2 linked regions of the Diceros bicornis minor genome follow. The protein of the gene in region 2 purifies or fractionates together with the protein of the main gene of each other region. This does not show direct contact. Links are inferred from orthologs where the notes say so. Each region holds a gene or a part of one and is shown on either strand. Other genes may lie near its edges.

Region 1 (7,698 bases), on a different chromosome or scaffold from region 2:
GGAGGTTAAGTATTAGTTCCACTTCACACTGCCAATGTGTATCAGGACAGAAATGAGAACACATCTAATCCACTGCATTTCCATCATATCAGCCTGATTCTTTTCTTTCTGCTCTCTCTTAGGTAGAAGGTAAATGAAAGTAAAACATCTTTCATTTCTCGTTGTAACCTACTCACTCTCTGGTATCTCTCCATTCCTCCATGTGTGTACACTAATCTTAGCTGCACATTTGCAAACTAGTAAACTGTTGGGTTCAACAACAGAGTAATGGAGCTTAGCCAAGAACATGCAAGAGAAACCAGAGGGAAATTAACAATGTTCAAGAAGGGGAGAGCCAAAAGGAGAGAGGAAAGAAAGAGCAGCCAAATTCTTCTAGTAAATAGAAATTCTAACTATTTGAGGATTGTGACTTGGCCCTACACCTGTAAAAAAGAAAAAAAAGCAAGGATTGGAGAACACAGAAAAGTCTTCACCATTGACTACTGCCATTATACATTATATATTTTACATGCCACTGGGGCAAAGGGACCCTGAAAATGAACGGATCCTGAGAAAAGGTTCTGTTTATTCTTTTGCTAGGCAAAAGAAGCTAAAATCCAAGACCTCTATGCTTAATATAAAAATCCTAATAATACTGTGTATTTAATATACACATGTATAAACTTGTATCTGTGGGCACCCTCTTTTCTTTTTTCTGTCCTTTCTTTTTCATACTGAATTCTAGCTGGGTGACAATAAAAGGGAGGCAGTATGGCAGAGAAATTAAGAGCAGAGGCTCTAAAATGGGGGAGGGCAGAGCACAGATAGAGAAAACAGTAATTATACATTTTTTATATATATATATAATGTGTGTGTGTGTATATATATAGTATGTGTATATACATATTAGAAAATAGTAAATTCTGAGTTTTTTTGTAGGTCCAGATCCTTATCTTACGCATCGCCAGTATAGGGAGCTTTGATCAAGAGGTCATGACTCATTCAGGCTTGCTGGGAAAATATCTCGGATGTAAGGCCACTAAAACAGTATTAGGGCATAAACAAAAGCAAATACCCTATATTATCCTACAGAGAGTTAATCCTACCTTTCTCTCACTAAATCCTTCTCCAACAGATAGATCAAAACAGAACAAAGCTCAAACAAGCTATGTTTTCTAGAAGAGTTGTACCGTATCACAATTTTAAGCATCACTCAATAGTTAATGCACATGGGATGATGTCCCCTTAAGTCCATCCTTAAGGGATGGACTGTTTAAAGGGATCATATAATACATCATTTTGAAAGAATCAATGCTAAATCCTTCTAATAAAAAAATAGGTTTTCATATGTATAGTTTACTTAAAGTAAAATCCTGCTACAAATCTGTAAAGTTTTCTCTTTGGGACTAGCTGTGCAATAAGACTGTAAGACAGTCTTAAGGAGCTGTGGATTGGCAGAACTTACCTGTTTGCAAAATAGGTAACTGTGTGATTAGTGTTACTTGAAGGACACTAGGAAGATTCTCCCAAAAACAACTACCACCCTACCAAACAGCTCACCCATCAATGGTTGATGGAAGTCTCTCACCAGACTTCATTCTTCCGTTTAGGTGTTCATACATCCTACCAACACTCTAAAGGGATAAGTCCCAAATGAGTTACAGTGTGAGTTACCAAATTACTTTGTTACAGAACTGGACAGTACAAGTGAGCACCGGGCAACTTGGTAGGAAGAAAACACTGGAGAGAAGTGAGGAAGGTGAAAACTGGGGAGTGCTGTCGTTTTGTTTTGCCTATTTACCAATGCATTCATTACTACCTTTTGTTTGCCCCCAAATCCATAAGGTCTGGTTACTAGGTCTTCAAGTAATCTAGAAGAGTTCTTCAACAGAAATTTACATTCTTTCAAGATAGTGTCACAGTATCATCTATCACAGTTCCTCTTAGAGATGATACAATGCGTCAGAAAAGGAGAACTCTGGGATCTAATTCTATTTCACTAAGCTGAGTGACGTTGGGCAAGGGTCTTGGTCTCCTAAGGCCTTCGTTTCTTCATCTTAAAAATAATGTTGGGTAGCAGAATTCTCTAATGACTCTTCTAAGTATAAAAAATTGTGTATTTTCCATAAATCTTCCATCATGTTCACACTGCTAATCTCTGCAGATGATTTCAACTTTCTACTTTTCTGTTTTTTTAGTGAAATTCCTTGACTTCCTCTTTATCTCAAAATTTCTTTCCTTCAATGCCACTTTCCCCACTCCCTTGTCACTTCTGCCACTTGTATTCCGTTCTCTCACATCTCCAATTTCTCCCTCTATTGGCTCCTTCCCTTTGGCTATGAACATGCTCTTCTTGCCCAACCTAAAACTACCACCCCTTGGGCTAATCTTCCTCTTCTCCCCTTCTCAAAATTCATCCCTTCCTCCACGGACGGTCCAAGGTCTTTCGGGTCTTCTTCGCCAATACGTTTTTTTTTTTTTTGCCTTTAAAGATGAGTGCTTCCCCTGGCGTTCTCCCATACCCTGCGCCTCCCTCCCCAAATATGCTTCAATACTTCACACAAACGAACGTTTGGGAACTAATGTTTAACTATTTAGCATATTTTCCAACCCTGCCACCGATTACAATCTAGAGGCGGTTTCACTGGATGAAAAAAAGCGGCGGAACACCGGTTTTTATTATCTCGAGACCACGAGCTGACCTGGGATAACTCGCCGGCAGACACTTGAAACACCATCTACTCAGAGCCCCGCTTCCGCAGAACCTACTGCAGAACAGTCACTGCTGCTGTCTGGAAGGGGCTCCATTTGTCTCTACTCTAGTACCGCCCCCTGCCAGCACCCTCACACCCACTCCCGCAGCCAGTACCACCACCTCACAGCCATCTTCTGTCGCCACCGTGAGCATTCCCTTAATGACGTCATTGCCGCCCACGCACCTGAGTGACCATCCCTGAAGCTACGAAATGGTCCAGGAGTAGGCCGGCAGCGTTTGGCGCCGACGCCGGGTCCCAGGGGTTCCCCGCAGCCATGACTGGGACCCACCTCCCCGCGCGGTGCCGAGAGTGAGTGCAACGCAAGGCGAACGCGCCGCGCGGCTCGATGACGTCACGGGGCGTTACCGCCCGGGCGGAAGCCCGCGGAGCGCGGTTCCCGGGTCTACCGCTGTGAGCTGAAGGGTAGGCGGCGAGTCCGGGGCTCCCTGATTCTCCGTAGGCTCCTAGCGGCTTATAGTCTCAGAGCAGCTGCAAAAGCGGCAGAGCCTGGTGGTCAGGCTGTCTGTTCTTCCCTTTCTTCCTTGCCGCTCTTGGGCTGGCCTGCAAGATCCAGGATCGGCGGGAGGTGACAGCTGGGGTGTGAGACCAGGAGGCCAGCGGGGCGGCTTGGGGGGGCCTGGACCGAGCGGTGACAGCTGCGCTTCCTTCCCTCAGGGACTTGAGCCGCGGCGCTAGGATGGGAAACAGTGCCCTCCGCGCTCATGTGGAAACGGCGCAGAAAACCGGTGTCTTTCAGCTTAAGGACCGTGGGCTAACCGAGGTGAGACTGGGAGGGACCCGACCAGGGAATTTAGAGGGAGAGGGACGGCGGGGGCGGTGAAATTAATCGGTGAGGGATTCTTTGCGCTGTGAACCCCTTTCTCCAGTTCCCCTTAGAGTTGCAGAAGCTGACGAGCAATCTCAGGACCATCGACTTGTCCAACAACAAGATTGAGAGCCTACCGCCTATGATTATAGGGAAGTTCACTCTGCTGAAGAGCCTCTCCTTGAACAACAACAAACTGAGTATGGCTTTTGCGCCTGGGAAGCTGTTGCTAGTGATCAGCTGTTAAGAAGGGTGGTTTTCTCTTACAAGCTGATTTTTGTTGTTGTTAATGAAACCGTTCAGAGAGCTCTAGACGCAGGAGAATGTCAGAGTCCTTGAAGTTTTCTGTCTCTTGTAATTATATCTGCAAGCCTCCTCTGGTGGTATAATGATTGGTACTGGGTTAATTTGGACTTGAAAGGGAAGGGACCATCTTTGGGATATTATGTAAACAGAGCTAATTTTGCTGCTAATTTGGAAGGGGGTATGGAATGGGGTGGGGAGGGCCTTCCAAATCCCACAAAATTACTGTCGGATTGTGCAGAGGCCCCTTTACAAAAGGAGCCCATATACACATAAATGCTTTCCTGTGTTTTGATGGCACTTTCACCTTCTGAAGACTATGTTTGGTAAAAATACAATACTTAAAAATGCCACAACATGTGGGAATTCTATGTGTATTAACAAGAGGTATAGCAGGCTGCCATACAGTTTTTATCAACTTCATCAAAGATATTTTTCACCTGTACCAGATTCAGGTTTTAAATTTTTTTTCTTTGCTAGCTGTTCTTCCTGATGAATTATGCAATCTGAAAAAACTAGAGATGCTAAGCCTAAACAACAATCACTTGAGAGAGCTGCCATCTACCTTTGGGCAACTGTCTGCCCTCAAGACCCTGAGCCTTTCTGGGAACCAGCTGCGAGCACTACCACCCCAACTTTGTAGCCTACAGCACCTGGATATGGTAGATCTCTCCAAGAACCAGATTCGGAGCATACCTGACATAGTGGGGGAGCTGCAGGTCATCGAACTCAACCTCAATCAGAACCAGGTCTAGAGCTTAAGGGACTTTTTTTCTACAGTGTATATGTAGGTTTACGGTCTCCTGAATAACCTGTTGTTCTCTAAACTGTAATCATGGAGCTGGGTATCAGAGGCTAGATGAGAGGTATATTCTATGGACTAGACTAATTTCAAAGCCCAAAGTGCCATGGAGTTGAGACACTGGGTATGTTTGTTGTGTAGTTGTTTTTTGGAGGGTGGGATGGGTAACAGGGTGAGATAATTTCAAAAGTTAAACTACTGTCTCAAAAATCTTGAAGAGTTCTTCAGATCCTCCTCAAATATGCCTCTAATCATCTAGCAAGGAGCTATGTCAGGAAGATAGAGTGGAAAAGAGGCTTAAATTCACAAGTTCTTAGAGTTGAATATCAGAGGTAATTCAGTTGTCCTTTTTTTGATATTTTTGTCAAGTGTGTGTCCTGCTTTTGCTGAAAAACTGCCAGTGATAGGCTGTCTGGAGATAGCCCATTTCATTGTTGTACAGCTTTGTGTCTGTTTTTTTGCTGAGGAGATTAGCCCTGAGCTATTACCTGTTGCCAGTCTTCCTCAGTTTTTTTTTTTTTTTGCTTGAGGAAGATTAGCCTTCAGCTAACGTCTGTGCAAATCTTTCTCTACTTTATATGTGGGTTGCCACCACAGCATGGCTGACGAGTGGTATAGGTCAGCGCCTAGGATCCAAACCTGGGCTGCCAAAGCAGAGTACACCAAACTTAACCGCTATGCCACAGGGCCCGCCCCTGTACGCTTTTAATTGTAATATTTGAAATTTGTTTCCATTTGGAAGCTCTTTGGTTAATGTGTATCTGACTGGAGAAACAACTGTTGGTGTAGATATAAAGCACAATTGATGAAACATTAAACATAGTGAGACTAGGTAGCCTTTAGTTTTTCTAGTGTCTGTGCTTCTAGATTTGCAGTCCAATAAAGTAGCCACTAGCCACATGTGGCTATTAAAATTCATTTAAATTAGATTTCAAAATTCAGTTCCTCAGTTGCCACTAGCCATATTTCAAGTGCTCAAAAGCCATATGTGGCTAGTGGCTACTATATTGGACAGCACAGATATAGCACATTCCAATCAAACTGCAAAAAGTTTGATTGGACAAAACTGTTCTAGCTTGTAGTGACCTTACATTATAATGAAATTCAGTCTGTCTTTGAGGAGATAGATGGGCCTCTTCTTTTCCTTAATAGGATATCCTTGAGCTTTTTAGAAAAAAATTATGTGGAAAAAAATTTTGGAAAAAAAGTTAAGCAACAATTAATTGAGCTCTCACTCCACATTCACCTATGCTGATGCCTTAATCAGTGGTTCTCAGATTCTAGTGTGCATCAGAATAACTGAGAGAGCTTGCTAAAAGAGATGACCGGGCCCCTACCCTCAGTGTTTCTAATTAAGTAGGTCTGTGGTGGGTTCTAGGAGTTAGCATTTCTAACAAGTTCCCAGTTGTTGGTCTGAGATGATACAGGCAGAGTAAATATAGTTTGGTGACTTGGAACATTTAAAGGGCAAAAGAGGTGAATGAGTCAAAGATAATTGCTTGGTATTAAGCTTGAGGGCCTAAAAGAAAAGTGGTGCTATTGAGAATGGACATGCTGAATTTATTATAATGGTGAATCATCCAAATGAAAATGTTTTGCTAAAAATTGGAGACATAGGAGTGAACAGACATGAATGTAGATACAGATTTTGAGGTCTTAACATAAGTGATAGGTTTAAGAATGGATGAGCTTTCTAGGCAAAAGTACCTAGATTGGCAATAAATGTACCAAAATGTTTATGGTGGCAGATTACAGGTAACTTTTTTCTTTAAACTTGTGTGATCCTCACATTTCCTATAATAAACAGTGCTATTATTATCAGAAAATGTTGTTTCCAAAAAAGTCACTGGTGACCTTCAGAAAGCAATTTTTTTTTTTCGAAAAAGTGGAGGAGTAGTAACAGAAGCTAGATCACAGAGGCTTCTGGAACGAGTAGGTAGTGAGAAAACGGAGGCGGTAAAAGGAGAACTAGGACAAATAGTCAAGTAAAAGTTTTTTGTTTTAATTTAGTAAAAAATAACCATTATAATTCTTATGCTTTTTCCTGTTATTCTTTTTTGTTGTTCAATAGATATCTCAGATCTCAGTAAAGATATCTTGCTGTCCTCGCCTTAAAGTTCTTCGCCTGGAAGAGAACTGCCTTGAGCTCAGCATGCTTCCACAGAGCATCCTCAGTGATTCCCAGATCTGTCTGCTTGCTGTGGAAGGCAACCTTTTTGAAATAAAGAAACTTCGAGAACTAGAAGGCTATGAGAAGGTATGTATTAGTGTACTTCTGCATTTCTAGTCACTGTTCCAGAGAAGACAACAGTGAAGTAACCCACATGAATGTTGATAGCTATAGGATGTATGTATAATCCTGTTTGTCAACAAGATTTATTCCCCATTTTGGAGGTGGGTTCTAAGAATCAGCCAATAGTATTGTGCCAAGATGACTTTTTCTCTTGACAATGTATTGTAAAGCATCTTCGTCTTTTGATAGGTTTCCTATTAAAATTTAAAAGAAAAAATTAAAAAACCCCAAAACGATGTGCTTCAAACCTGCATTTAAAATAGGTAGATTTTATAGGAAATGAAGGACCATTTCCAATAAAAACCTACATTAAAAAAATATAAAAAGCTAAGTAACAAATAGGCTAACATTTGTTTATGCCAAAATACCTCATATATATTCTTCTTTGATGATTTTTAGTACATGGAGAGGTTCACGGCCACCAAGAAGAAGTTTGCATGATGTTCTCCAGGAGCAAGGGAACATTACAGGACAGACTTGCAACCTCTTGCAATCTGGCTGAATCAAAGGCTCCTGTTCTTGTCAAGGATATGTGCATTAAGGAGATGATACTCCAGGAGATTATATTTCACTCGATCTTTTTCCTTTCCAGGACTCATCTCAAATAAGCTAAAAGGAATCAAGAGACAGGAAGAGTCCTCTATTTTGAGTCATGGATAGGGCAATGGACAATGTTGACCTTCAAAACTATCAGTAGTTTGGCATTAAGAAACCAGTGGCTAGTTGCTATTTATATAGT
Region 2 (7,393 bases):
TTTCCTATGTTTGCATCAGATCTCTTCTTTTAAGAAATAAAATATTATAGATACAAATTAAGCCCCTGCCCCCTTCTTCTCTGTTCCCTTCTTCCCTCCCTCCATCCTTGGAAGAAACCACTGAATTCATGTTGCTGTGAGTCAATCCTCAAAGTATTTTGCACTTTTACTCATTATGTGCGGGTACGCTTGATGATGCAGTTGCTGTTTCGGGTGTGTAGGAGTCCTTAGTAACTTCTGACAAGTCTCTCCAGCTCTTCACCTGCCAGACCTCACCTTCTGCTTTCTCAGTTGGCCCAGCTGATGCTTCAGTTCACATGGTCATAAAAATGCCAATTTTTATGAGGAAATTAGAGACAGGATGGTCTGAGATGTGCCAGATATTGATCACAAATTTTGAAAGTGTATATCCAAGAAGCAAAGGATAAGGATCCATCTCTGGGTATTGATGGTAATAAAGAAGGTTCCATCCCCCAAAAGTAGTGTCCTATAGACTGTACTTCTTAAACTTCAATGTGCACCCAAATCACTGACAGATTTTGTCAAAATGCAGGTTTTGTAAGTCCGGGGTTGAGGAGCAAGGGATTCTCCATTGCTAACAAGCCCCTGAGGGATGCTGTGGATATTGGTCCCTGAAAACCTTGCTAGCGGCAAATTACAGGCATTAATGTGGAAGCTTGAGGTTTATCAAACAGGGATTAGGAGAGGAACACAGGGTGTCCATCTCAGTAACGAAAATCATTTTGCCCCAAGTATGTTGAACAGACTGAACACAGTGCAAGTACAAACATGACATGTTTCTTCTCCTGTGAGTAATGTGCCAATATCACCTTTTTGCATCAGCCTTTTGGGGGGTGGAGAAGAAGACACCCCTCCTCTCATGGGGGAGAGGGGGAGGGAAAGCTACTGCAGCTTCTTCCATGAACAACAGCTTGATGTCACAGTGATTTCTCAGACGTCAAGAGTTTCTGCTTACAGAGGGTATCCAGGTTCAGAGAGGGTGAACCACTAGTGGAGATATAATAGATAGATAGATAGATAGATAGATAGATAGATAGATAGTTGATAGATGAGATAGATAGACAGATAGATGAGAGAGATAATAGGGATTTGACCTCATGCAATTTGTAGAGTTGTTAAGCGGTCCCTAAGGTTGTTGTCTTAGTGTCTGATGCTGGCACTCAAAGTGCACAGAGCAGGCAGTTAGGAAGGGGAGACAGGCGTAGAGCGGGGGAAAGCTAGGACAAGCTGGAACGAGTTTGCCTCTGACCTTGGTGGTACGAGTGTCCACGGAAGCTGGCACTCTTCATCATGGAGCTAAACACACACCTGGCCCAGGAGTTAGAGAAGCTGAAGGAAGATCCAGGAGAAGGTGGCACGAGCGCTGGCCTGGTTGCTGCCCTATGCAAACACAGTGAGTCAGCGCCAGCCAGCAACAACCTGCGTGATCTACCAAATGGCAGCTGCTTCACTTCTGCCCTCCCAATCTTGCCCAAGAATCTCTTTTGTCCCATCCTGACTGAATATACAGCGAAGGAAATTCTAGGATATAGTTCATTCAGCCTAGTCAAGCTGACACATTACAAAGTCACCTCAGAGAGACTGGAGGAGAGTGGTGAGAAGACGGTTAGCGGCTGCTAGGAAGATGGTCACATGACCAGCTCTGCTCTCTCTTAGGCATCTTGAGAGGATGTGTCTAATAACCCCCGAGTGGCTTTTTTTAGAGTTAGGGGGCAAACCACCGGTAGTTATGTCTTATTTGGGCTTAACTTTTCTTCCAAAGCATACAGAATTCTCTTATTTTTGTATGTAATTATACAGCTTGAGTCAAGTTGCATCTGATTAGTCATCACTAAGGTTATAGATCTTTCATTAAATATTGCAGCTTTCAGGCAATACTTTTTTTAATAGACTTTATTTTTTGTGGGCAGTTTTATGCTTACAGAAAATTGCACAAAAAGTAAAGAAAGTTCTCACATACCTTTTCTCCCTCCACACACGTTTTCCCCTATTATTACCATCTTGCAGGAGTATGGGACATTTGTTACAATTGATGACATTGAAACATTGTTACTAACTAGAATCCATAAGTTACATTAGGGCTCACTCTGTGTTGTACCCCTCGACGGTTTTTTTTACAAACGCATAAGGTGATGTATCCACCATGACAATATCATACAAAATAGTTTCACTCCTCCTAAAAATGCCCTGTGCTTCATCTTTTCATCCCTAACCCCCATCCCATGATCCCCCAGCAACCACTCATCTTTTTACTGTTCTCCATAGTTTTGCCTTTTCCAGAATGCCATATAGTGGAATCATACAGTATATCACCTTTCCGATTGTCTTCCAAAGTGGCTGTATAATTTTGCATTCCCACCAGCAATGAACGAGAGTTCCTGTTGCTCCACATCCTCAACAGTATTTGGTGGTGTCATTGTTTTGGATTTTAGACATTCTAATAGGTGTGTAGAGGTATCCCATGGTTGTTTTAATTTGCAATTCCCTGATGACATATGATGTTGAGCAACTTTTCATATGCCTATTTGCCATCTGTACATCTTCTTTGGTGAGACATCTGTTCATAAGTTTTGTCCTTTTTTTAACGGGATTATTTGTTTTCTTCTGGTTGACTTTTAAGAGTTCTTTGTATATTTGGGATACAAGTCCCTCATCATATATGTTTTGCAAATATTTTCCCCCAGCCTGTGACTTGTGTTTTCATTCTCTTAACAGCCAATACTTTTTAAAGCCCCTTGAAAAGCTCATAGACCCATGGCACACATACTGTCTAATTGATTTTTTTTAATAGCAAAACACCCCACAAACAGTGGAAGAGTGGAGATGTTTGAAAGAAACATCAGCTGTTGAGAAATCAAGCATCGTGAAGTAGCAGCTGCTAACCTTTCTTCCGGGAAGCCCAACTGGATTACAACCTGGCACCCTCTTCTGCTTCTCATTTTTTTGGGGTTTTTTTGTTTTTTTTTTTAATTTTATTTATTTATTTCCCCAAAGCCGCAGTAAATAGTCGTATGTCATAGCTGCACATCCTTCTAGTTGCTGCATGTGGGACGCGGCCTCAGCATGGCCCGAGAAGCGGTGCGTCGGTGCGCGCCTGGGATCGGAACCCGGCAGCCAGGAGCGGAGCGCGTGCACTTAACCACTAAGCCAGGGGGCCGGCCCTGCTTCTCAGTTTGTATGAAGCATTTGAAACTGCACTCAGCTTCTCCCCCAAATCTGCTATCTCAGTGGTGATCCCATGATCCCCTTGGATATCCCCTTGGCTCCTCATACCCATCGAGTCCCACATTGTTATCAGCATCTCCCCCAAAGCTGCCCCTTCTCTCATGTCCCCATTTCAAAGTCTGCTCCACCTAATCCCCAGCCCAGAGCCCTGGACCTCACCCTGGATGCCCCACCCACCCCGTACAGCCAAGTACAGCCAATAGACCTCATGACCCATCCACTCAGTCTCCCCCTCTCTGCTCCACAGCCATAAGCACTGCCCTCACCCCCACTCCTTATCCCGTTCCACCCTCCTCCCTGGGTTCCTAACTTTAGTCTCACCCCACCACCTTTCCTCCCATTTGTTTATTCAACAACTATTTAGAGAGTCTGGCTCTGTAGTGGACACTGAGGACAGACTGGTGACCTAGGCAAGCATGTTGCATGAAAAGTCACTGAATGTTGCCATTTCTCAGGGCCCTGTCTGAGGCCGAGTGGGCTCTCCGGAACTCCAGCCCCAGCATCCAGTGCTTTCTGGGGCACCCCACAGACCTCTCACACTCCCTGTGTCCCAAATTGACCCACCCCTCCTGCTTATTTTCTACCATTCCTACCTGGTGATGCGTCCGTGTCCCCCACTGAACCGTGAGCACCGTAGCATGGAGACTGGGGCTGTCTCAGCCCCCCGTGGTGTCCCCAGCACAGGGTTGGCTCTTGAAGGTTATGGTATGGTATGGACAAGAAAGCACGCCAGGGAGATATTAGGGTCATGCTATCTGCCCTCTATCCCTCACTCAGATCTGAGAGACGCTGTTTCTGAAATCAAAGAGCAGTAAGGTTGGCATCTCCTCGCCTGGTTCTCATCCTCCTAGGATGGAAGTCCCATTTTGTCAAGAAAATCAAGGGAGGCATTGGGGACCTTTTGCCTCTGAGGGAACAGCTGGTGTGAGTGTGAGGACGCGGAAAGCAAGCGGGGCCCACCGTTTCTCCACTCCCCTTTCATCTTCGCTCAATGGGATCCACCCTGGAGGAGCGAGACAGCAGGACAGCTCCGAGACCCGGCAAACCAAGAGGCGCCCGTCTGCCTGGCAACCGACGACGTCACTGTCGGCGCCCTCGTGGCGTCATAGGCAGGCGCCACGCTTGAAGAGGGCGCGGGAGGCGGCGGCCGCGGCGCTGTCATGGAGTTAGCGCAGGAAGCGCGGGAATTGGGTTGCTGGGCGGCCGAAGAGATGGAGGCGCCCGTGGGGGCCCGGGCCTCGGAGGCGACGCTGCGCAGGTGAGGGTCCTGGAAGCGAGGACTGCCCGCCCTGGAGGTAGAGTCTCCGGGAGAGAGAACCCCATCTTCACTGGAGACGGGCCCATCCCCCTCCCACTGCGCCGCGGTGAGAATAACCCCAGAGGGCGCCCCCCACCCCGGAGTAGTACATCCAGGAAGAGGATCCCGGGTTTGAGTTAGGACGCCCTGGCGGTGACCTCCACACTGCCACCCCCACCTGCGAGGCCGCCCAGAGTGAGGTCCCTGGCACCAGGGAGGATCCTCCATGAGTTAATGGAGCCCCCTTCTCGTGTGGAAATAGGATCTCCAGGGTAAGGCTGTCCCTGCAGCACCTCACCACCGACCCCCCACTCCAGCCCAGCCAAGACCATCCCATTGGAGCCTGAATCCATAGCAGTGGTAACCCGCATCTGGTAACAAGAGAGCACTTCCTGGCAGTACACTCCCACCCCCACCTCTGGAAGTAACTGGAGATAACCCTCTCCCAGGAGAAAGGGAGCACCCCACCAGGGAATGAGAATACCCCCACACCCAGTGAGAAACCCACCCTCTCGGACTGAGAAGTCCCCAGAAAGGAATATCCTACCCCAAAAAGTATGGGCCCTCCCTCCCCCCAGAAGTGAGAATTCCCTAGTAAAGACTTCCTCACCACCACCACCCTGGGAATGATGATCCTCCCCGCTGTGTGATGTACACACCCTTACACGCTGTCCCCACAGGCTGTGTCTGGGCCAGGGGGCCGACATCTGGGCCTACGTCTTGCGGCATGTGCACAGCCAGAGGTGAGCCTGGCTGCATGAGGGAGGCTGTGGCAGGGGAGGGGACACAGGCAAGGCCCCAGTAACTCCTCTTCATCCTACCTCTCCACTGTAGGAGTGTGAAGAAGATCCGGGGAAACCTCCTCTGGTAACTGGTCCTCAAAGCTATCCCTTCCTCTCTTCCCTGGTCCCATCTAACCATGTCCCCACCCACAGCGTCACACCTCCCATCTCCCTCTGGAATTCCCTGTCTGCCCCTAACTCTGGCCTCATTTCCTCAGGTATGGCCACCAGGACAGTCCAGAGGTGAGAAGCATGTGCTACACGATTTTTTTCATCCAAAAAAAGGATGTGTAGACCTTCTGCTCTAGGCCCAGCCTTGTGCTGGGTGATGCTGGGGACACTGTGTCACAGGCCCTGATCCCTGCACTCACGGGGCTTACAGTCCAGGGGGAGACAGGCATGAGCTGGGGGTTGGGGGGACATGGACATGAGGCATCAAAGCTGGTGAGGGGAGATGGGAGGAGGGACTGGTTTTAGAGAGGTACTGAGGCCAGTGTGGGACCCAGTATATGCAAGGGGCCCAGGTGATATCTAGGAGGATGCTTCCAGGAGACCTCAGGACTCCAAGATGTGGGACTCGGTGGGGAGCTGAGGACTGGGACAGAGACGGAGTGCCATCAGCGCAGAGACAGGAAGGGAGGGTAGGTGAAGGCAGTCCCAGGAGGATGGAGGAGGCCAGGATAGCACCCTAGAGCTTTCTGGGCCTAGAGGTTCAGACACAGAAACTGCTTAGGAAAAACTCCTGCCACCCACCTGGGCAGGTGAGGAGACCGGTTCTGCACAAAGAGCAGTCAGGCCAGGCTGAGCCCCAGCCAGGCCACACATCTGACCCTGAGTCTGATCCCACCAGGCCCGTCGGAAGCTGGAGCTGGAAGCTGCTGTTGCCCGCCTGCGGGCAGAAATCCTGGAGTTAGACCAGAGCCTGGAGCTGACAGAGCGAGAGACCGAGGCTCAGGGTGACCCATGGGGGCTGGGCAGATGGGCAGCAGAACGGGGGTAGGGGAAATGCTGATGGCCAACCCGTTTCTCCCACAGACATAGCCATGGAGCAGGCCCTGCAGAGCATGCAAGACACCCAGCGCCGTGCTCTCCTCCTCCGGGCGCAAGCCAGGGCCATGCGAAGACAGCAGCGTGGGCTCCAGGATCCCGTACAGCGGCTGCAGAATCAGCTCAGGCGCTTGCAGGACACAGAGAGGTGGGCCTCAGGTGCCCAGGGACCAGCTGGCACCAGGCTTGGAGGACAGACGTTCTCCTCGGAGACCCCGGGGCTCTGCCTTGACCCCTTCTTGGGCTCCAGAATTCTGAGCTGCACTCCTTAGGATTTAAAGTCCGTGAGGCCAGGAAATTTTGTCATCTCAGCCACCTGTATCCAGTGCCTAGAATGGTGCAGACTATATAGAATGCCAGTGTGGGGGAAAGTATCGAGGTGGGTATGTTAATTGAGGTGAATCCTGCAAAGTGCTTAGAAGAGTTCCTAATATCCATCGTTATTATTCTGAATGTGATGGGAACATAGCACGTTGTTTTCGAGGGTTTTGAGCAGAACACTGACATGGTCAGTCTGAGGTTCTAACAGGATCATTGACTACTGAGTGGAGAAAAGACTGCAGAGGGCGAGAGCAGAGAGAGCAGTGAGGAGGCTAATGCAGTCGTCCAGCCAGGAGATGACAATGGCCTAATTTTGGAGGTGGCCCCTGAGATCCAGGCTTGGTGATCCCTGTGACTAGCTTTGCTGGCAGCAGGAGGGGACACAGCTCTCCCAACTCCCTCCTCCCAGGGACCCCAGCCCCAACTGCACTCCTCTCTCCAGGAAGGCCAAAATGAATATAACCTTTGGACCCTTGACATCAGCAGCCCTGGGCCTAGAGCCTGTGGTCCTGGTAAGAGCCCTGGGCCATGAGGGAAGGAGTGGGGAATCTGGGGTCAAGTGGACCCCTGGGTCTCCCTCACGCTCCATCATCCTCTTCTTCCCAGAGTGATGTCCGAACAGCCTGCACTCTCCGGACCCAGTTCCTGCAGAACCTCCTGACTCCTCAGGCCAAGGGAGGCAGCATCCTGTGAGTGTCCC

The links. Proteins that work in one complex are often made in the same cells at the same time.
Region 1: the proteins of HAUS5 (region 2) and HAUS2 purify together in Homo sapiens (affinity purification with mass spectrometry; 5 studies listed by BioGRID and IntAct, with this or other methods). This does not show direct contact. The link is inferred for Diceros bicornis minor from reciprocal best matches to the Homo sapiens genes HAUS5 and HAUS2.

What each region holds. Positions count from the first base shown.
Region 1 is NC_080744.1:40,120,218-40,127,915, reverse strand, and holds the start of HAUS2 (HAUS augmin-like complex subunit 2), read right to left. Parts: upstream 3,043-7,698; 5' UTR 3,012-3,042; coding exon 2,919-3,011; intron 1-2,918. Other genes in the region: LRRC57 (leucine-rich repeat-containing protein 57), read left to right, coding at 3,433-3,516, 3,623-3,761, 4,345-4,613, 6,738-6,923, 7,359-7,400.
Region 2 is NC_080773.1:8,947,325-8,954,717, reverse strand, and holds the start of HAUS5 (HAUS augmin-like complex subunit 5), read left to right. Parts: upstream 1-4,374; 5' UTR 4,375-4,406; coding exon 4,407-4,504; intron 4,505-5,223; coding exon 5,224-5,286; intron 5,287-5,377; coding exon 5,378-5,410; intron 5,411-5,543; coding exon 5,544-5,568; intron 5,569-6,175; coding exon 6,176-6,281; intron 6,282-6,360; coding exon 6,361-6,520; intron 6,521-7,102; coding exon 7,103-7,205; intron 7,206-7,299; coding exon 7,300-7,382; intron 7,383-7,393.